6 linked regions of the Rattus norvegicus genome follow. The protein of the gene in region 1 purifies or fractionates together with the protein of each later gene. This does not show direct contact. Links are inferred from orthologs where the notes say so. Each region holds a gene or a part of one and is shown in the gene's direction. Other genes may lie near its edges.

What was found.
Region 2: the proteins of Rmnd5a (region 1) and Ski purify together in Homo sapiens (affinity purification with mass spectrometry; 3 studies listed by BioGRID and IntAct, counting the BioPlex papers as one, with this or other methods). This does not show direct contact. The link is inferred for Rattus norvegicus from reciprocal best matches to the Homo sapiens genes RMND5A and SKI.
Region 3: the proteins of Rmnd5a (region 1) and Gid4 purify together in Homo sapiens (affinity purification with mass spectrometry; 4 studies listed by BioGRID and IntAct, counting the BioPlex papers as one, with this or other methods). This does not show direct contact. The link is inferred for Rattus norvegicus from reciprocal best matches to the Homo sapiens genes RMND5A and GID4.
Region 4: the proteins of Rmnd5a (region 1) and Ranbp9 purify together in Homo sapiens (affinity purification with mass spectrometry; 9 studies listed by BioGRID and IntAct, counting the BioPlex papers as one, with this or other methods). This does not show direct contact. The link is inferred for Rattus norvegicus from reciprocal best matches to the Homo sapiens genes RMND5A and RANBP9.
Region 5: the proteins of Rmnd5a (region 1) and Mkln1 purify together in Homo sapiens (affinity purification with mass spectrometry; 4 studies listed by BioGRID and IntAct, counting the BioPlex papers as one, with this or other methods). This does not show direct contact. The link is inferred for Rattus norvegicus from reciprocal best matches to the Homo sapiens genes RMND5A and MKLN1.
Region 6: the proteins of Rmnd5a (region 1) and Ranbp10 purify together in Homo sapiens (affinity purification with mass spectrometry; 4 studies listed by BioGRID and IntAct, counting the BioPlex papers as one, with this or other methods). This does not show direct contact. The link is inferred for Rattus norvegicus from reciprocal best matches to the Homo sapiens genes RMND5A and RANBP10.

Annotation. Positions count from the first base shown.
Region 1 is NC_086022.1:104,939,089-104,942,588, reverse strand, and holds part of Rmnd5a (required for meiotic nuclear division 5 homolog A), read left to right. Parts: intron 1-48; coding exon 49-151; intron 152-2,298; coding exon 2,299-2,453; intron 2,454-3,500.
Region 2 is NC_086023.1:171,002,458-171,005,957, reverse strand, and holds part of Ski (ski oncogene), read left to right. Parts: intron 1-2,230; exon of another isoform or gene 2,231-2,319; intron 2,320-3,252; coding exon 3,253-3,375; intron 3,376-3,500. UniProt on the Homo sapiens protein: May play a role in terminal differentiation of skeletal muscle cells but not in the determination of cells to the myogenic lineage. Functions as a repressor of TGF-beta signaling.
Region 3 is NC_086028.1:45,719,914-45,723,854, forward strand, and holds the start of Gid4 (glucose-induced degradation protein 4 homolog), read left to right. Parts: upstream 1-1,141; 5' UTR 1,142-1,222; coding exon 1,223-1,411; intron 1,412-1,458; exon of another isoform or gene 1,459-1,700; coding exon of another isoform or gene 1,701-1,724; intron 1,725-3,941. Other genes in the region: Atpaf2 (ATP synthase mitochondrial F1 complex assembly factor 2), read right to left, coding at 301-460.
Region 4 is NC_086035.1:21,496,277-21,499,776, forward strand, and holds part of Ranbp9 (ran-binding protein 9), read left to right. Parts: intron 1-738; coding exon 739-890; intron 891-3,500. UniProt on the Homo sapiens protein: May act as scaffolding protein, and as adapter protein to couple membrane receptors to intracellular signaling pathways. Acts as a mediator of cell spreading and actin cytoskeleton rearrangement.
Region 5 is NC_086022.1:61,053,318-61,056,817, forward strand, and holds part of Mkln1 (muskelin), read left to right. Parts: intron 1-625; coding exon 626-755; intron 756-3,500. UniProt on the Homo sapiens protein: Component of the CTLH E3 ubiquitin-protein ligase complex that selectively accepts ubiquitin from UBE2H and mediates ubiquitination and subsequent proteasomal degradation of the transcription factor HBP1.
Region 6 is NC_086037.1:50,574,560-50,578,059, reverse strand, and holds part of Ranbp10 (ran-binding protein 10), read left to right. Parts: intron 1-82; coding exon 83-267; intron 268-3,500. UniProt on the Homo sapiens protein: May act as an adapter protein to couple membrane receptors to intracellular signaling pathways.

The DNA of each region.
Region 1 (3,500 bases):
GTTAGCATCCCTGGGGTTGGCACTAATGCTTCCCTTTTTTGCCCTCAGTTTCTCAGCAGGTTGTGTGGCGCTGCCTGCACTAATTAACATCAAAGCTGTGATTGAACAGAGGCAGTGTACTGGAGTTTGGAACCAGAAAGACGAATTACCTGTGAGTTCAATTGACAATTTATTTACCTTTCTTGCCCTAGAAGGTGTTTTCAAAGTACTCATCATGCCATTTAACCAGAAAACACTATTACAGCTATTCAGCATGGTTTTTTGTTTGTTTTTGTTTTGATGCACATAACATGAGTGAACAGTAAGGTTGGATATAGCTCAGTGGAAGACCATTGCCTGGCAGGCTTGAAGCTTTGGACCTAGTCTCCTCACCACTCTAAAAAGGAAACATGTCAGTTAACTAATTAAAATTAAAATAGGTAAGAGGGAGGTGATGGAACACACTTAATTCTAGCTCTCAGAAGGGAGAGGCAGGAAGATGTTTGTGAGTTTGAGCCCAGCCTGGCCTACATAGTAAGTTCCAGGACAATCAGGGCCTCTTTCTTACTGAGACACTGTCTTAAAAAAAATGAAACAAGAAAATAGATTTGAAGGATTTTAACCCGAAATTATCATTTCTGAGATAATTGTGTCACAGATGCCGGAGGGTTGAATTAATAAGCCTTTGACATTAGCTTCTTTTCCCACACCTGCACATAGATTTGTCTGCAGTTAGCTTGTTCCTTCAGCTGTAAGCCTGTCAGTTGGTTGCACCAACTAGAGCAGCTTGCTGAGGGTGGTTTGTGACTAAAGGCACAGGTGCCTTCCTGGTGCTACATGTGGTCAGGGCATAAGCAACACTGTACTCTACTGCTGCTGCTTGAGCAAATGAAAGAACTCTGTTTCTTAAGCAGATGCCAAGCTTCTGGCAGTTTTATGATCTTTCTGTGAGCTTCTTTGACATATGCACACTGACGTAGAGGAATCTATAGGATCCCCGCTGACAGTGTGCATCTGACTGGGAGAGTATCAAGAGGAAGGGGTTGGTAATCTTTCCTCAGGAAAGATTTGTTGTACTTTTGGCTTTTGTGCGCCCCTCCCTTTCTTTTGGGGAGTGGGGAGTCAGGGGATACCCTAACTATATAGTCCAATTTGGGTTTCCTCTGATCTTCTTGGGCACTGGCTTTATAGGTGTGTTCCACCATTTTTTCAGTATTGTAGTTTGGACTCAGATCCTTGTGCACACTGAATTCCTTCCCCTTTGTCAGTTTTCCTTAAAGAACCTTATGAATTGACTAAGTCTGTGTGTCACTGGCTGCCGTAGATCTCATTTTGTCTTGTATCCATCAGATACAAGAGACCTCAAACTCAAAACCCCTTTCTCTACTGGGACTAAAGGTGTGTGTCACCACGCCTGGCAGTAATGGACTTTTAGTACAGGAGCTGTTGTAGATGGGAAGAAAGAAAAGGGAGGGAGGGAGGAAGGCAGGCAGGCAGGCAGGCAGGCAGGCAGGCAGGCAGGCAGGCAGGCAGGCAGGCAGGCAGGCAGGCAGGCCATGTATTGGTGGAGACTCAGCTGGTCTGCTAGATGACTTCAAACTTTTATATAATTGGATTTATTTGTGGCAAAAACACAATGTTGATATCATGCCTTGAGCTTTTAATGTGAACAAATGACAAAAATCCTGCTGAGATTTAGCTTAAGTGTTATTGGTATTACAAGCCTGTAATTCCAGACATTTGGGAGGCTGAGGCAAGAAGACTGTAAATTCAAAGCCTGCCTGGACAACTTATAGAGAGCCTATCTCAAAAGCAAAAAAAGGGGGGAACATGCACCAAGAGGTGATGGTGGCAGGTAGGGTACTGGATTAAAGCCTGCCTAGTCACATGCAAACCTCCACTTTGGACTCTAGCACTGGGGGAAAAAAAAAACAAAACAAAAATCCCTCCTTCGGGTTTTCTCTGGACCATGTCATGCAAATTACAGAGGAAACTCAGATCTGGTCACCTAGAAGGCAGCTCTATTTAGATTGCCCTTGGAGGAGTCGATGCACTGAATTTATCACCTAACCAGGCATTTCTACAGAAGTCAGGGTCTGCTTCTGCTCTTGGGATATGTTCTGGTGAAATTACAAGGTATTTAGGCCAGGGATATGGCTTAGTGCTGGGCCAGGCTGCCTGGTACCACCAAAAAAAGATACTTAACTTTTGAGCGTCATGTTTGATCTTCTCAGACCCCAGATTCAGTTTGAAAAGCAATGTTGTAGTTTTGCAGATGAAGATTTAACTAGCCTCTGTGCATTTCTCTTTTTTGAACAGATTGAAGTGGACCTTGGTAAAAAGTGCTGGTATCATTCCATATTTGCCTGTCCCATTCTTCGTCAGCAAACAACAGATAACAACCCACCCATGAAATTGGTTTGTGGTCATATTATATCAAGAGATGCCCTGAATAAAATGTTTAATGGTAGCAAGTAAGTGTCAGACTTCTTAAATATTAAATAGATCTGTCTTGTAGGAAGTAAGATGTAATAAGGATAAATGAATGCATCCAAAATCTTTTATATATTTGGTTGGTTCCCCAACCCCCCAGGGTTTCTTTGTATAGCCATGGCTGATCTGTAGAGTAGGCCAGCCTCGATCTCGGACATTTGTCTGAGTACTGGGATTAGTGTGTAACACTGTGCTTAGCCATAACTACACTGAGAAATGAGTTTTCTTAACTAGTCATAGAAAGTGGGTTATGTCTAATCTCTTTGGTTAGTTTAACCTGCAGTCTAAATTTGGTAAATAGACTTGTAAATGTTCTCTAATCCTTGTGTGCCCTTCCCTCCAGGCTTTAAGTGTAGTTACTATGCATGTCCTACTCCCTTCTTTGTTTCACTTCTCTCACTTAGGGCTTTATTGTGGAGCTATTTTTATATGTTGCAAAAAGAGCCCTTTGTTATGATGATGTTAAAGCTGTGGATGAGCAGGCATGGTGGTGCTTGCTTCTAATCCCAGCACTTGAGTGGTGGAGGTAGGACCCGGAGTGCAAGGTCATCCCAACTATGTAGCAAGTTAGAAGGGTCATCTTGAGCTACATGAGATTGTCTCAACTACTTTTGCTGCCCTCCCCCAATGTAGATTACTCTGCAGTGTGGAAATATGATTATTCAGCTATTTTCCTCTTGGTGAATACAGTGCCAGTGTGTTGTCCACATGTGATAATTGCTACCAGTGTAATCATGGTTCAAAGCTCATAGACATTTGTAATTTTACAGACAATGAGCCCAATTTAAAACAAAACAGATCTCCAAGGTATTCTAACTTAGGCAGTTGGAGGGGTCTTGACTCAGGTTGGTTCTGGCCCCATTGTGGGAAGGCCCTTTCCTGGGAGGTCTGTTGCTTGAAAGAAACTGTTTATACCCTTCCCAGACCACACAGAAACCCTGGCAGTGCAGATTGGTGGTGATTGTGGTCACTGAAACGCATGTGGGCTGTCCTTTATGCAGACTGATAGCTCACAACAGATTTGCTGT
Region 2 (3,500 bases), on another chromosome or scaffold:
AACCCCACACACACAAAATCAAGGACAAGAAACTGGATGTGGCTGGAAGGATGGGAGCGCAGGCACCTTGGGGACAGTTTCTGGGGCAGACTCTTGTTAGTTTTGTTTTGGGGACAGGGTCTCTTTATTAGGTAGTTCTGGCTGTCGAGGAACTTGCTGTGTAGACCAGGCTGGCCTTGGACTCCCAGATCTGCCTGCCTCTGCTTTCCTAGTGCTGGTGTTAAAAGTGCATGTGTGCCCTTCACCCTGGCTCTGACTAAAGAGGGGTTATCTTGGGGTGAAGAATGGCAGTGAGCTGCTTCTCTCAGGACTGGAAATGAGTGGAGGCTATCAAGATTCTATAGCGTGTGAGGTGAGCAGATGCTCTGTAGGGACCCCCAGTGGTTCTCAGCTTCTTTGTGGGTATCTGGTTACCATGATCTTAGCAATGTGCAGGCCTCTTTTAGAACCCCCAACCCACTCCACTGCCTCCACAGTATTAGCCAAGGGGACCACTGCCTCTGGCAAGTTGCCTCGTGAGGTTTCTCCAGACCTACCGTCTTTGCTTCTTGGGCATAGGCATCTTCAGGGTGCACTGTCTGTCCGGTTCAAGCCCTCTACTTGTGCTGTATGGTTCCTGCTGGCCACAAACCCCTGAGGCTCTGCCTGGCAGTTCTCTGTACCATCTGAGGCTAGAGGAGAGTGTTAGACACAGCAGCCATATTGGCCACAGCTCACCTGAATGCCAGCCTCCACTGTAACCCGTAGGCCCATGTCGTCCTGCCCTGTTTCTGCCCTTGGGCAGCATGAGTGTCTCAAGTGCTCTTTCTGAGGTTTGGAGGTGGAGGTGAGGAATTCTTAAGTTCCCTGTAGGTCAAGAGTACACAGACTCAGCGATGGGGGGTGGGGGTGGGAGTGGGGGTGGGCGTATATAGCTGGCTCCTCATCTGCTTTGGGATCTACATATCCACAGCCCTGCCTGGCCCAGCCCTTCCTGCACAGGTGCAAAGGTCACACTCAGTGACACCTGTTCTCTGCGTCTTTGCCCTTGGGATGTGGAGGAAACAAGCACCACTGTCTGAAGCTCCAGAGAGGAAGTAGCCACAGGGCATTGCTGTGGCCAGCTCAGCTGGCTCCTCCCCTGATACAGCCTGATAATAGCCCTTGGTATTGGACTTTTGGCAGCAGGGCTGTCTCTTGTCAACCTGTTTAGCTCCTGGCTTTAGCATATGGGCCCAGAGCTCCCCTCCTGGCTTATAGACACTGGGATGGTTTTGAGGCCCCAAGAAAGGACAGGATCCAGAGGTAACTGACTGGTCCTAACCATTGACTGACTCCTAGGACCCCTAGTATCCATGCTATAGATGGTGGTATCCCAGGTCTGACAAAGCTTTTTCACTGCACCCCTGTCAAGCAGGACCCCTGTCAAGTGACCCTTCTTCAGGGTCCTGTTGCTTAACAAATGCCCTTCAGCTTCCCCCTTATGTGTACAGCTAGTTTGGTATTAAAGGGATTCCTGGCACCGTCTAGTTTTAACACTTCCTTGTTCTGTAAGAGTTCTGGTTGCCTTTGGACTTTGTATGAAAATCTCAGGAGAGCTGTCCCAGCTACCCTAAGACTCCTCCACTAGCTCCAGGGGCTTCCCCATCCGATGTGTGAAGCAGCTGGGTTACCTTAGGAGACTTTGACCCCAGTATGGTAGTCTACCACTCCCCCCGTCTGTGGCCCTTCTGAACAGGAAGCAGCCTCACCCAGTGGTCCTATTCCCCAGCATTTTCTGCTGGGTCACAGTTTTGAGGCTGCCTGAGCGGTGTCCCAGACTAGACTTGTGGCTTTCTCTGTGAGAGAATAGAAACTCACTTTTTGCACCTGTTCCAGTGTCTGCTCAGACAGGAAGCCCCACCCTGGTGTGCAACACCCCCCTTCTGCCTCCATTGTGAGAGGGATCCTTGCAGTTCCGGAAGTGGGTTCTTCTACCCCAGCCAGCATCCTGGGTATCTACTCCTTCAGGGAGTACACACGGCCTCCGCTGACAGATCCTCTGCTAAGTGACAGCTTGACACTAAGAGTTATTCCCTCTAGAAAGTGGTTTCGGTGTCTTTTCTTCTTGAACAGTTATTTGTATGTGTCTGGGAACACCAGTGTCGTCCCAGGCACATGCATGCCGCCAGGGGGGCTGATCGCCCTCTCCAGGTTTCCTAGTAAGAAACCTATCAAGCTGGCACCTTGGCTGCCTTCTTCCTCTTTGCAGGTGTTGTGATAAAAGCCCTGTTCTTCTGTAGGCCGGAGGGCTCTGGCTGGAAGTCTCACTTTAGCTGCATCCTTCCCATTACACCCAAGGTAACGAGGCTGTGCGTGGGACCGAGGTGTAAACCCTGTATGCCTGCCTTGGGGTCTGTGTCATCTCCTTAGGCCCTACCTGGGGGACAGCAGCTTAGCTCCTCTAGTCTTATCTGCTCTGGGAGAGGCCCATGCTGTGATTGTTCTGCAGGTGGAACGCCGGTGTGTGTGTGTGTGTGTGTGTGTGTGTGTGTGTGTGTGTGTGTGTGTAATGTGACACTTAGGTGGAGGGTCATTGGATTTCACATACAGACTGGCTCAGGTGTGCACCACTTAATGCTGGATGTCAAACTAGACCACAGCTGGTGCCCAAGATAAGTTAGGGTACTGGCTGGCTTCTGTAAGCTGACAGCAAAGGCAGTGTGGTGACACCTGGTTAAGCTATTTTGTGAGGTATGTCATGGTCCTTCAAGTTGAATATTTCCTTCCTCTGGGGAGGGGGTAGCTGTGGTAACCGTAATGCTCTCCAATGAAGCAGTGATAAAGGATGCCCAGAGGGCAGCCCTCTTGGGTTCCTTACAGGCTGCTTGTTGGGTCACACTTGAGCCTGGAGTCAGTGCTGGGTCATTTAGCCCATTCCTGATGTGGCCACAGAGTGGGACTGAAGGCAAAGAACCTAAGAGTGCTGTGGAAGCCGGAATGGGTCTTGGCGATCCACACAGCACCCGCTGCAGCTGTGATGAGGTCACCTCAGAGCAGCCCACAGCAGCACAGTATTTCTCTGTCTCATGGGACGCCCTCGTCCCTTAGCAGACACATCAGGCTTACCTTTCTGCACAAGGCCAAGGTGCTCTGTGTTTGTGGCTCTGAGGCTCCTTCCTAGCTGTGGAATTACAATGGTCCAGTGGAGAGCTTGCTACTATGGGGCTGGTAGGGAGACCAGACCCTGCCTGGGCCCAGGGATCCCAACAGGGCCTTTTGTGTTGATCACAGGTCTCAGAGCCCCCAGCTTCCATAAGACCCAAAACAGACGACACTTCCTCACAGTCCCCTGCGTCTTCTGAGAAGGACAAGCAGTCCACTTGGCTGCGGACCTTGGCTGGTTCCTCCAATAAGGTGCTATGTGGGAACCTGTCTGGGGTCTTTGGGGAGGGAGTAAGGCCCTTCTTAAGCCAACTCTGGCTCTACTCGGCCTCAGGGACATAAAGTGGCTTGTAGTTCTGTAGTCATTTACATGGGTT
Region 3 (3,941 bases), on another chromosome or scaffold:
CAGGGCTACACTGAGAAACCCTGTCTTGAAAAATGAAACAAGCAAAAGGCGAAGAAAAAGAAAGGAAACTGAGAGAAGCCTCAGCCAAATATCTCCTACCCTGGAAACGCTGTGTCCCCTAAAGTCACTCCCGCACTGGTTTGGATGTCATTTTTCAAACTGAAACAGAGTTCTATTACTCTGAATATTCTCATGGGCCTGAACCCTGCCTCAGTCACCCCGCACTGCACGTCGGAAACCTTCCGCCAGGTGAGCCCGACTTGGCTCCTGAACAAAAAGTAACAGAAGTCCGGGCCTCACCTGTTGGCGGGACGTAGGCCCGGGCTGGAGGCCTCAGAGCTGGCCCCGGCCACAATGAAACGGTGGGGTCACCGAGAGGCCGGTCCAAGAGACCGCGCCACCGGTCCCTCAGCCGGGGGTAGATTCGCCACATCATGCCCAAGGGTTTGGGTGGACCCATACGTGAAAACAGTACAGGAATAGAGCGAAGAGAGTCCCCCAAACGCCTCGCTGGTTCCGTACGGAAACCTCTCACCAAGGGTTCAAAGCCCTCAGCCTCCTCAGCACGCCGCCATCTTCGTCATGACACCTACGGCACGCCGTCACAGCCACGCGCCCCCTGCGTACCGCCCCCGCCCCCGTCAATCAGCATCACAAGCGTGCTCGCCCCGCCCCCTCCATGCCGCGCTACGGGAAGAAAACTACAAGTCCCAGAGGGCCATTCGCGCACCGCACCACGTGCTTTCTCTGTCTGCCAATGGGCGGAAGCGCCGCGTGAGCTTGCTCCCGCCTCTCCGGCGGGTCCGCGCCAATTGGAAGCAGTAGAGTGTGTGTGTGTTTGTGTGTGTGTGTGTGTGTGTGTATGTGTGTGAGTGTGTGCGCGAGTGTGTGTGTGTGTGTGTGTATGTGTGTGTGCGCGCGTGTGTGTATGAGTGAGTGTGTGCGCGTGTGTGTGTGCATGTGTGCGTGTGTGTGTGTGTATGTGTGAGCCCGCGAGGGCAAGTGGGAAGGGGAGCCCAGCTCAGGACTGGGAGGCCCTGCTTGCAGGTCTCGGGGTCCAGGTGGCGACACGAGCGCTCGGTCAGCCGGCAGCGGGCGGGTGGTTCCCCAGCCCCTCCCCCGCGCGTGCGCGCCCGGGTCCGCCCTCCCCGCAGCTTCGGCTCCCGCGCGGCGGCGGCGGTTCCTTCCCCCTCCCCCAGCCCTGGCTCCGGGGGACCCCGCGATGCCGGTCCGCACCGAGTGTCCCCCGCCGGCGGGTGCCTCAGCCACATCCGCGGCTTCACTCATCCCGCCGCCGCCCATCAACACCCAGCAGCCCGGCGTGGCCACCAGCTTGCTCTACAGCGGCTCCAAGTTCCGTGGCCACCAGAAGAGCAAGGGGAACTCGTACGACGTAGAGGTGGTGCTGCAGGTGAGCGCCAGGCGGCAAGGCCCGGCCCGAGGGCCTCCTCGCGGCGCTCACGGGCCGGGCCTGCCCTGGGCTCCTCGAGCCCTCAGCCGCGGACCAGGCCCTCACTGCCGGGGCCTCCTGCACCCGGCGCCTCCCACCGGGACCTGCCCAGCTGATGTCACACTCTCGAACCCTACCCCTAACCCACCCCTAGACTCAGAGCCTGTAGCGGCCAGCCTCCGACAGACCCCGAAGACTGTCCCACACTTGGAGCCTTTGACTCTCCCGCTTGGGATCCGGAAGCACCCCCATGACTAGCCGTCCTTTAGCCTGGGTCGGTTCTTCCCAAGTCCTGTCCTGTCCTCCCTACACCAGCCAGCCCTCCCACCAATCCCTGTCGGATCCTGAAAAACTCTTCATTGGCTGCCCCAAACTCAGTAGCGGCCAGTGTCACATTCTCCCAGAATGAAGCTTTTCCTCTGACCCTAACTCCATCCAAAGTGCCAGGGACCTTGCTCCTTTGAGTTTGGAGAACTCAGTCAGCCCGCTGCTCTCGGGGCGACCGGGGCGAGGTGGGCAACCTCCCTCCATTGGCCGAAACAACCCACAAAGGTTAAGGCTCCCCAAAGACCAGGTACTCACACCCAGATATCTCCAGTTGCACCACTTAGTGTTAAGACCTTGTCTCCTGAGGCCTTCCAGTACCAAAACTCGGCGTCAGTCAGTTCATAGACATCTGCTGCTACACTGTGCTTCCTGCCCCAGGCTTCTTACCCTACCTTGCGCTATAGCTACTTTCTATCCCTGACAGTCGTGTGTGTCGTCGCCCCCCCCCCTTCCCCGCGGCCTCTCCCCAGACCTCACACCTTGGTCTAGCTGGTTGCCATTGCTGCCTGTAGTGTTGCTGATTTTTATCTACATAGCTCCAGAGTTTCCTCCCAGCCTCAGATGCCCAAGTACTGGGAAGTCTAACCCAGTTTTGTTTTGTGTCCACTTACCTCCCCCTATTTGACCTGGATATCTGAGTACTGGCTAGTGGCTGCCAGGCCCGGAACAACTTTGAAACTTCAGCTTCATCTGCTCTGGGCCTTTCTTTTCCAGAACTCCACTTCTTGCTCTCTCCCTTGAAGCTTTTCCCAACTGAAGAGAGATTGGTGGAAGGAGATAGTTCTCTTTCATCTCCCCTCTGCACAATACTGTTCTTTCTAGGTACTGCCTGAAGACCTCTCCCTTGTCTCACCTTGTGTGCATTTTCCTAATGCCAGCTCCTGGGTTCTTCCCCAAATCTTGTTCCTTGAAAGCCCCACCAGAGGCTTAGAGGGGCGTGCAGCCCCAGGGCCCCAAGGAGGTGTATAGCAGTGTACTTGTATACCCTCCACCGCCCTTTGTTCTAATTTCCCATCTTGGATTCTTTTGAACAAATAGCTCTCCCACTCCACAGACAGGAGAGTTGTGTCTCCTTTCTAACTGCAGCACACTCATCAGCCTTTTCTTTCTTACTATTTGTGGGGATAGTTCTCAGCTTCTTGACTGGGGAAACCATACTCTTATTAAATGTAATTTTTTTCCCATGAAGTTCTGCATGAACTTATTTATTGTATTTATTGTAGTTGGAAAGTTGTGGCCAAGCTATTTCAAGTCTTGTTACCTGCTGTGGTAGTCATTTTGTCCTTTTTAAGATTTGATACTATAGTATGAAAAAGTTAGGCTTTTTGTTTTTAATTCATTCAACTAATCATAAAATTCTGGAAGTGAGATTCCTGCATGGATCATGTTTGGAATGGCCCTGAATTTCCGCCCATTTGCTGATTTCTGATATAATAGGGAAATCACTGCCAGAGCAACTAGGTATCAAAGGGAAGTCTGTTCCTATCATTTATCTGTTGTTCCCTACCTTGTCAGGGGTCTTGTGATCAATGGGAAAGGTGGTTGAGTGAGAGAGGTGGTTGAAAGGTGTCAGGTAGCCCATATCCTATATGGAATGCCTAGAGGTGGGAATGGTTGGTAGTCATGCCACGGATGGCTCCCCTGCATCTAGGCCTGTGAACTTGTTATTGTGACCAGGTGGGGGCACAGGAACTGTTATGTTAACTGGTCTTTTCTAGACTCAGCCCTCTGAGAATAGTTCTGTCTTTCATAATTCAACTTTTTTCCTTCTTTTCTTGTTTGTTTGGCTTGAACTATTTTTATTTAAGATTTATTTATTTATTATATATAAGTACACTGTAGCTGTCTTCAGACACACCAGAAGAGGGCATCAGATCCCATTACAGATGGGTGTGAGCCCCCACGTGGTCACTGGGATAACCACTGAGCTATCTCTCTAGCCCAAACTATTTTTAGGAAGCAGAATAATGTGGCAGTTAAAGGCATGGACTCTGAAATCAAACCAATGAAAGTACACCTGCTCGTTCTACTTAAGTACTTTTGTTATGATATACTCCACACATTATACTGTTTGCCTATTCGAGGTCTACCCTTAATGGTTTTTAGGATATTCCCAAAGTTGTACAACTATCACCTGATTTTAAAACGTTTTTATTGCCCCCCC
Region 4 (3,500 bases), on another chromosome or scaffold:
GGGTAAAATAAATCTCAGTCACTGTGAAGAGCAGATGAATTCATCTCTAAAAAGCTAATTATATCAAGTACTCGTTAACGTTAGCGTTTTCTTCATCATCATATGGATGCTGCTACCAATAGTGATTTTTATGAGTACAGTGTTTCAGTACCAAGTGTTAGTCAACATATATAATATAAAATACTTTTAAGGGTAACATTTTCCTTAGTAGTGTAATTGGTCTTTTTCATTAGTAAGATAAAATATCATCTGTGCTTCTACTGGGGTCTTAACTTCTAAGAACATTTTAATCTATTTCTGTTTGCTGTCTGTTAAAGCCCGAGAGGGGAGTTACTGTTCCATATACCCACCCACCCCCATCATGTTTCATGGAGTGTAGGAGTTACACTTAACTTTCCATGCAAACACTGGACAGTTCTTGTACCACGGCTGCACATTGAATGTCGGATTCCAAACTCTTGAGACACATAAAATATAGCTTTGAGCTACATGGAAATTTTTGACTTTTTGTGTTCAGCAGCCAGTCATGGTAGTAGCAGCCTGTAACTCCAGCCCTTGGGAGGTCATTGCCAGCCTAACAAGACCTTGTCTCGAGAATATTCATAGCTATCTGTATTTAGATGAACTAAAAAGTAGTTACTGAAGAACATATGATATGTTAAAAAGAAAACTTGTATGCTCACTGGTTTTTTGTTTTCTGTTCAGTAAGTAGTGAACTAGCTGTTGTTTTGCCTACAGAAGTTGACTGCAGTCAGTTAAGACGCCAGCTGTGTGGAGGAAGTCAAGCTGCCATAGAGAGAATGATTCACTTTGGCCGAGAGCTACAAGCCATGAGTGAGCAGCTGAGGAGGGAATGCGGCAAGAACACAGCAAATAAGAAAATGCTGAAGGTAAGAATGTCGCTTGCTTTCTGGGAGGCTTACTGGAGAGGTTTCAGTCCGTTCCCACTTGCCACTGTCGTTCCTGGGTCTGTGGTAAGAGAGAACCTCAGTGCAGGGAACTCAGTAGAGTAGGGCTGACTGGGAGAGAGAGGACAGGGCCCTTTGTAGGCAAGCATCCAGTGACCTTCACTGACTTAGGTTCTACATGGGGACCTAGTCTTACACCCATGAGCTTTTGAGAGAATATTTCATAGTCAAACCATATCATATGTTTTCCCTTGAGACATAAATGTGTCAGAGGTACCAGATGTAGTTTTATTAAACATTAAGCAAAGTGGTAGAAATTCTGGGGAATTTGCACTTGGGGTCCCTCAGTCGGTGCCCATTTGTGAGTCAGAACTCTTGGTGGCATAGGCAGTTCTGATCTGGAACATTGGGTTTCACACACGCAGTCTTAAGTGCCAGCTCTGCTGCACCGAGATACCGTGTCCCCTGGGACTCCCTGTGCAATTGCCGTGCCTGCTGAAACCATGAACTTGACGTGCATATTTTGGTAAACACTGTTTTAGGGTTGCAACAAGTTAAATTGGTTTTATGGGAATCAGTGAAGGATTAGATCCATTTTTTTATGTCTAGAATGGTTAAAATACATTTTGAAGTCTCTTCTGGACAAGTCCATGGTGGGTGAAAAGGATAAAATTTCAATAAAAAGTTAACCACAGTTTGAGTTTTTAAAAGTTAAATTGTTACAGATAAAACACCACACACCAAAACTACGCAGACTCATAGACTGTGGTAAATCTCAGTAACCATTGGTATAGCACCTGTTCTGATGCTCTGGGGCTTCACATTGGATTCTTACATTTTCACCGTCAAATATATTTTTATGTATTCATGCACCACCATAAAAAACAAATCTATGAAAGAAGTAGAACTAGAAAAATAGCTTTCTGTTCTCTTTCATAACTCCTGTTACCTGCATTTACCTCCAAATCCTATTGATTCTGGCCCTGGATAGGACAGAATACCGTAAGTAGGAAGCACATGGAGGAAGAGGCCTTCATCCCATGGCAAAGGAAAGCAGAGAGAAAGGAAGAAACTGGGATCATCTATATCCTTGAAAGACACAGTCCCAGGGACCTACTTCCTGTAACTAGCTCCTGTCTCCCTAAGTTTCCAGGACTTCCAAAAATAGCACTGCCTGCTGAGATAGCCTGTGACAAACATTTCACATCCCAACACAGCACCTCCCAGAAGGCAAAGGGAAACACACTTAATGGGCCTTGTGACCAGTGATTAGAGATTACATGAAAGGGCAGATGACTGCTTATATTTGTTCTGAACCTGAACTGAGAATGTAGTGATTGGTAACTTGTAATAGTACCCACCGTATCCAATACCTTATCCTTAGCAGAAAGCCAGCACTAGTAAGTATTTATTTGCACAGTAGTCTCAATTAAAGGCATTGTTTTACATTACAGTAGCTGAGGTTGGAAGAGCAGTGTCATTACCCACCATCTGCTGGGTCACATGACACTTGAGTTTCTAGCCGTAATCCTCAGCAATGAAGAGAGTTAAATTACTAGATATGAAAGAGTCCGTAGAAACAAATGTCATGTGTCAGGAAAGTGGCTGTCCACGTTTGCCTTAGAGGATTTTCTCATGGTCAGATTATGTCTTTATAACTCTCCAGTGGTAAGTATCTCTCTCTTGAGTACATGCTAGTCTATAGCATCACTACCTATCCCTGTGCAGCTCTTGAGAAGTACCCGTTGAAGAGTGTTGTGAAAGTTAACATGGTGGGCCTTTGGTTAATTTCTAGGCATCTGAACAGTACTTTGCAAGATGCTAAGGGCTGTTTTAGGGCTTTAGTTCCTAATATTTCTGATATTTAAAATTGTTGATGGGGGCCAACAGTTCAGCTCAGTGGTCTAGTGCTTACGTGTGCTAGAGGAGGCTCTTGATTTTACATAAGCACTGACACACACACACACACACACACACACACACACACACACACACACACACACACACACACACGGGGGACAGAAACAGATTTCTAACAGTTTTTGTTTAAATGTGTTACATATACTGGTATATATGGTAGAAGTTAAAACTAAATTTTTAAAAACTAGAAATTCTCAATTTAAAATCTTTATGAAAAATGTACTCCCACTTAAATGGGGTCTCTAATGTAATAATAGATGAGCTATATTCTCATACCTCCTTCTACATCGAGTCCATAAATCAGACATTTGGGCTACGAAAGTGAAAAGGGCAAGGAAACGTTAGTGATACAATGAACAGTTTTAAGTTTGACACCTCCTTGAAAGGAGCCCAAACACTGTCCCTGGACTACATTGATGGAAATGTCTCGTGTAAGTGATACTTGAGAATATGAAATGTGCTCAAGAATTCTTAGGCCTCCTTATTTATATTCAAGTCATCTGACTGTGTAGATTCTCAAAACTTTGTGCTAATTGACCTGGATGAAGGAATGTGCGGTAGTCTACTGCCTTTGAATATTTAGGATTATACTCCCATAATCTCACTGTGTCTTTGGTTTAACATGACACTCAGAAAACATCCTTATGTGACCATACTTTAGAAGTATTTCTT
Region 5 (3,500 bases), about 44 Mb from region 1:
GTCCTTTATTATGTTTTGACTTACACAAACACACTTCTTGCTTGCTGGCTCACTCTTATTTCTGCTCTCATAGTTATACAAAAGGCAGAGTCTTAGTCAGGGTTTGACTGCTGTGAACAGACACCATGATCAATGCAAGTTTTGTAAAGGACAACATTTAATTGGGACTGGCGTACAGATTCTGAGGTTCAGCCCATTGTCATCTAGGTGGGAGCATGGCAGCATCCAGGCAGGCACGGTGCAGGAGGCGCTGAGTTCTACATCTTCCTCTGAAGGAAGCCAGGAACAGACTGTGCATCCTCAGGCAGCTAGGAGGAGGGTCTCCAAGCCCACCCCACAGTGACACACTTCCTCCAGCAAGGCCACACCCTCTAATAGTGCCACTCCTTGGGCCAAGCATATGCAAACCATCACAGGCAGCAATCTGGCTATTCAGTTTTAGTGGGATACCTTAGCAGTGGTAGTGTGGAGAGACCTGCCTCGTCCCTCTTCATTTGAGCAAAGTAGTGATATGTGGGATCACTCGGAGACTGCTCTCGTAGGGATGTAAAGTGTGAAGGCTCATTCTCAGTGCTTTATTGGAAATGACAACTCCCTTTTCTCCTTTTTTTTTTTTTCTTTTTAGAAAAACCGTTGTTTATACGTGTTTGGTGGCCAGAGATCTAAGACCTATTTGAATGATTTTTTTAGTTATGATGTGGACTCTGATCATGTAGACATAATTTCAGATGGCACCAAGAAAGACTCTGGAATGGGTAAGAATATTTCCTGTGTTGTAACTGCTTTTTATAGGAAATTAATGTCCATTTTCTTCTCTTTGTAACCTTCTCTAATTGAAATAATTCTAAATTAAAGGAATAAAACTGTCTAATTCCACTGTTCAAAATCACATGATTTACTATTATTTTAAGGAAACTATAGTGTGTGAATTTCTGAAGTAAACGTGTATGTCTGTGCTTTGGGGAATGGACTTTGTGAAAAAGCAGCATCTGAAGAAATATTCTGACTTTGGCGACACCACCAACTTGAGTCCACTGTAGTAAACTGTAGGTAAGGCATGAGCACAGCAGAGTGGTCTCTAGGGTAGCCTCCTGCAGTCGTTCATACCTTGAAGATGTTCGAGCTTATCATCTAAGTAGGACCTCCTACTAAAAAGGTGGTTATTTACTAACCAGATTCTGTACATTGTCCTGGCATGGCTAGTAGTAATTCATCGTACACACTACTTTTTAAAGTCTCATTTTGATAATTAACAGTTAACCAACACAGTAATTGCTTTACCTATGAATTCTTTATCCAGAAGGGTAGATTTGATTAAGGCCCAGTTTGGCACTGGAGATAGAATTAAAACCAGCTTGTTTTTCTTTTCTTCTTTTAATATAATTTTTTAAATTTTATTTAATCTCTTTTTACAGTCCAGATTTTATCCCCATCTCAGTCTACCCTCTGACTATTCCACATCCCATAACTCCTACCCCCTTCTCATTAGGATGTCCCCATGCTCCCACCCCCACCTCACCAGTTCTCCCCACTCCCTGGGGCCTCCAGTTTCTTGAGGGTCAGGTGCATCTTCTTTGACTGAGTCTAGACCCAGCAGTCCTCAGCTGTATATGGGTTGGGGCCCTCTTATCAGCTGGTGTAATGTTCCCTAGGTGGTGGCCCAGTGTCTGAGATATCTTGGGAATTCAGGTTAATTGAGACTGCTGGTCCTCCTACAGGGTCACCCTCCTCCTCAGCTTCCTCCAGCTCCTTTTTAATTGAACCACAGCAATCAGCATCTTCTGTCCATTGGTTGGATATAAATATCAGCATCTAACTCTTTCGGCTGCTTGTTGGGTCTTTTGAAGGGCAGTCACAATGCTTATTGTGAGCACTCCATAGCCTCAGTAATAGTGTCAGGCCTTGGGGCCTTCCCTTGAGCTGGATTTCTCTTTGGGCCTGTGGCTGGACCTCTTTTTCCTTAGGCTCTTCTCCACTTTTGTTCTTGCAGTTCTTTCGGACAGGAAGAATTATGGGTCACAGTTTTGACTGTGGGATGGCAACCCCATCCCCCTGTCTTTCTACTGGAGGTGGGCTCTACAAGTTCCCTCTCCCCACTGTAGGACGTTTCATCTAAGGTCCCTTTGAGTGTTGAGAGTCTCTGGTACATTCTGGAGGGTCGCCCTACCTCCTACCTCCTGAGGTTGCCTGTTTCCATTCTTTCTGCTGGCCCTCAGGATTCAGTCCTATTCCCCCACCTAATACCTGATCATGTTCTCCTCTTCCCCTCCCTGTCTCCTTTCCTACCCAGGTCCCTCCCTCACCCTCCAGTGATTGTTCTTCTCCCTCCCAAGTGGGATTGAGGCATTCCTCACTTGGGCTCTTTAGCTTGTCAACCTTCTTGAGTTCTGTGGATTGTATCCTAGGAATTCTGTACTTTTTAAAAGCTAATATCCACTTCTTAGTGAGTACAAACCATGCATATCCTTTTCGGTCTGAGTTACCTCACTCAGGATGATAGTTTCTAGTTCCATCCATTTGCCTGCAAAACTCATGATGTCCTTATTTTTTTTTTCTTTTTTTCGGAGCTGGGGACCGAACCCAGGGCCTTGCACTTGCTAGGCAAGCGCTCTACCACTGAGCTAAATCCCCAACCCCCGATGTCCTTATTCTTAATAGCTAAAAGTATAACATTGTATAAATGAACCACATTTTCTGTATCCATTCTTCTGTTGTGGGACATCTGGGTTGTCTCCAACTTCTGGCTATCACAGACAAGGCTGCTATGAACATAGTGGAGCATGGTGGCATGGCACCTTTTGGCTATATGCCCAAGAGTGGTATGGCTGGATCTTCAGATAAATCTATTTCCAATTTTCTGAGAAATCTCCAGATTGATTTCCAGAGTGGTTGTACCAGTGTGCAATCCCACCAGTAATGGAGGAGTGTTCCTCTTTCTCCACATCCTTGCCAACATGTGCTGTCACCTGAGTTTTGATCCTAGCCATTCTGATTGGTGTAAGGTGGAATCTCAGGCCATTTTGATTTGCTTATCCCTGATCACTAAGGACTTTGAACATTTCTTTAAGTGCTTCTCAGCCCTTCAACATTCCTCTGCCTCTGTTTTTGATTGGGTTGTTTGTTTGTTTGTTTGCTTTTGGTTTTTTTTTTTGGGTTTTTTGTTTGGTTGGTTTTTTTTTTTTTTTTTTTTTTTGGTGATTAGCTGTGGGGGGGTCAGTGAAGATTTTTTTTTCCCAATCTGTAGGATGACAATTTGTCTTATTGACTATGTTCTTTGCCTTACAGAAGCTTTCCAGTTTCATGAGGTCCCGTTTATCAATTCTTGATCTTAGAGCATGAGCCATTGGAATTCTGTTTAAGAAATTTATCCTGTGCCAATGAGTTTGAGGTTCTTTCTCATTGTCTCTGTTAGATTCAGTGTATCTGGTTTTATGTTGAGCTCTTTGATCCATTTGGACTTGAGCTTTGTGCAAGTTGACAAATCTGGAAATACTTTCATT
Region 6 (3,500 bases), on another chromosome or scaffold:
CTGGCAGAGCCATGGAAGTGAAGAGAAGCTCCACAGCCCTGCTGCCCTCAGGGGCCTGACTGATATTCATTCTTCTCCTCAGGCCAACCTCTACCCCACCGTAGGCCTACAGACACCTGGGGAGATTGTGGATGCCAACTTTGGGCAGCAGCCCTTCCTGTTCGACATTGAGGACTATATGCGGGAGTGGCGTACCAAAGTCCAGGGCACTGTGCACGGCTTTCCCATCAGTGCCCGGCTTGGCGAGTGGCAGGCAGTGCTGCAGAAGTGAGTGTTCCCCCTCCCCCAGGCCTCATGGGACTATAGACCTGTGCAGTACTGCAAACACTGCTGACAGTTGTAGTGGTGGGCATGCTCCTGAGAAGCACTGGCAGAGGACTCAGCTGCTCATGCTTCCCTCTCACCAGTGCACATCTCACTCATACTTTTGGAGCTGCTCCTAGTTAAACCTTGTGTGGGGCTACAGAAATGACTCAGCAGTTAAGAGCACAGAGTGTTCTTGCAGAAGACCTGAGTTCAGTTCCCAGCACCCATGTCAAGTGGCTCACAACACCTCTGACATCACTAGCCTCTTGAGGCACCTGCTCTCAAGTGTATAAACCCACATATGGGTCTGTATACATGCATACATACATACATACATACATACATACATACATACATACATACATTTAATTCAAAATAACCACAATTTAAAAACAAAAAACAAAAAAAAAAAAAAAAAACCTTCCCCTCAACCAGCTCACAAGTCTTCTATTTGTAAGTGCACACCTTTAATCCTAGCACTTGGGAAGCAAAGGTAAGCAGATCTCTGTGAGTTTAAGGCCAGCCTCATCTACAATAGTAAGTTCCAGGACAGTCAGGGCTATGTAGAAAGAACCTGACTTTAAAAATACCACCACCGGGATTGGGGATTTAGCTCAGTGGTAGAGCGCTTGCCTAACAAGCACAAGGCCCTGGGTTCCCCAGCTCCGAAAAAAAGAAAAAAAAAAAAAAAAAAAAAAAAAGATACCACCACCACCAACCAAAGGAAATAACTAGTTTAAAAAATCACCAGCATAGCCGTGTTCCTTCCCAGGGCTATTTTGTAGAAGTTTTAGGACCACTATGGTTTATTCTTCTGTGGACACTTTTTCTGCTATAAAAATGCATATTGCCAAATGTGGTGGTGCATGCCTCTGTTCCCAGCAGCAAGTCTCTGAATTCGACACCAGCCTGGTCTACAGAGCAAGTTCCAGGACAGCCAGGGTTATTACATAGAAAAACCCTGTCTCAAAAAGCTATTTAAAAAAAATCTGCATTGCAAGGCTTTGGCTTGAGGTCACTTAACAGGCTCAGCATCCAGCTAATTATCCCTGTGTCCATGGAGTGGTATCAGGGAAAGAGTGGATCAACCTAGCATGCTCCTTGGTTAATTAATCTCTAAATTGTCTTGGAAGCCAGTGTTGCTGGGACTCCAACAGGAGGACAAGTTTGGTCTTATTTCACTAGCTAACTTCATACCTAGGTGAAGCAATGACTGTTACTCACCCACCTCTTAGAAGGTGAGTGTTAGCTTGGCTCCCAAGAGTGGAGAAGGTCCTGGCTTCTACTAACCCTGATCATTGTTGTGCAAAGGCATGAGGGACCTGGAGTAGCAATATACTGGGTTCTCATCCAGTCTCAGTCAGTCTCAGTCCCCACCCCAGCTCCACCCTTTCTCCTCCACTGACTTTATCTTTCTTTTGAACTCAGGAATTTACATATGCTAGGAAAGGACTATCACTGAGTCTTATCCCCAGTGTTCAGCCTTCCTTTCCTGAGGAATTGATACTAAAGCAGCCTTGAGGAAGGGTTGAGGTACAGATAGTGAGACCCTTGTTGGGAAGAACAGCAGGACCACCTCTGGCTCCCAGCCTAGCAGGTGAGAATTGCTCCCTTGAGGGCCACAGCAGTGCCATTCCCCACAGTATGCTTTCTGGGTGGGCAAGAGAAGAGGTGGAGTTACTTTCAGGGTCTGGGCTCAACACATGGAAAGTTTTTGTTTATATGTATGTATCCATGTGCCTGTATGTGTCCTATGCAGCATTTGCTAAAACCTGCATATAATTTGTGTCCTGTTATTTTACCTAATTTTATAAATATTGGAAATGGCTGGGTTATCTTGGAGATAGATTGATCACAAGCTTCATGTCTGGCCGGCTTCCCCTGGTGAAACACCGGTACTATCAACTTCCCTCCCCCATTCGCTCCCCTTCCTCCTACTTCTCTCTCCTTCCCTCTCTGTGATAACAATAGAACACAGGTGGTCATCCATGCTAGGCAACCACAGTACTGCTGACCTGAGTCCCCAGCCCCTGTTTCTTTTGCTGGCATAGGTAATACTTTCATAATAAAGAAATTTATATATATTACATCACTTTCTGGATCTAGCGATAAGGCTCAGTGTTTAAGAGCACTTTCTGCTCTTGTTGAGAACCAGGTTTGGTTCCCGGATGACATGACAGCTTACGACCACTGGTAACTCCAGTCCAGAGGATCAGGCACTCTCTTCTGTACTCCGTGGCACCAGCCACACTCAGAGTGCTTAAGCTTGCATGCAAACACTCAGATGTATAAAACAATGAGGAGATGAGAAGGGCTTAAAATTTACTTTGGTGTCCTCCAAAATAATTTAAACTATGCCTATTTTGTTAGAATTTTATTTATTTTTCTTTTCTATGTATTAGAGTTTTGTCTGTAGCTAGGTATGTATGTGTAGTGTGTGTGCTTGGTACTTGTGGAGGCCAGAGGAAGGCATCAGGTCCCCTGGAACTGGAGTTATGAACAGGCTATGAGCCACCATATGAGTGCTGGGAACCAAATCCAAGTCCTCTGCGAGGACACCAAGTGCTATTAAACCACTGAGCCATCTCTCCAGCCCTAAGAAAATACATTTTAGAATTATCAATGTTCATATGGGCTCATCTGAACCATGTTTTTTTTTTTTTTCAAAATCATTGCTCTTCTGTTTATGATAATAATAATTACAATTATTGTCCGAGAGTATATTTTTGTCCAAAATTAAAACTTTATTGAAAAACTGACACCAAAATAGCAGTGTATCCTATAACACAAGGCTACATTTGTTTTCAGTTCATGCCAAGCATCTTGTTCATTCTATCTCATTTACCCCTTCAAACATCAGGAGCCACCCAGCCACAGGTGTGCAGCCTTAGAACATTCTCCCCATACATGTCCACGCAAGTCATGAGAGTTCATGCATATACATGTACATATGTGCATACATACATATGGCATTGCTCAACCAGCTTTAGCGGGGTTAAATTACTGTTGTACATTATGCCTTCCACAAAGACTGTGCTCCTATTAGCCATGAGGTGCCTGTCTCTTCCCAGCAAAATCAGCCTGTTATCTTGAATTCTTGCACCTTTAATACATGGTATATTATGAGATTAATTTGACTCATTTGCCTGCCATTCCTCTAGAGCAGTGGTTGTCAATCTTCCTGATGCTGCGAT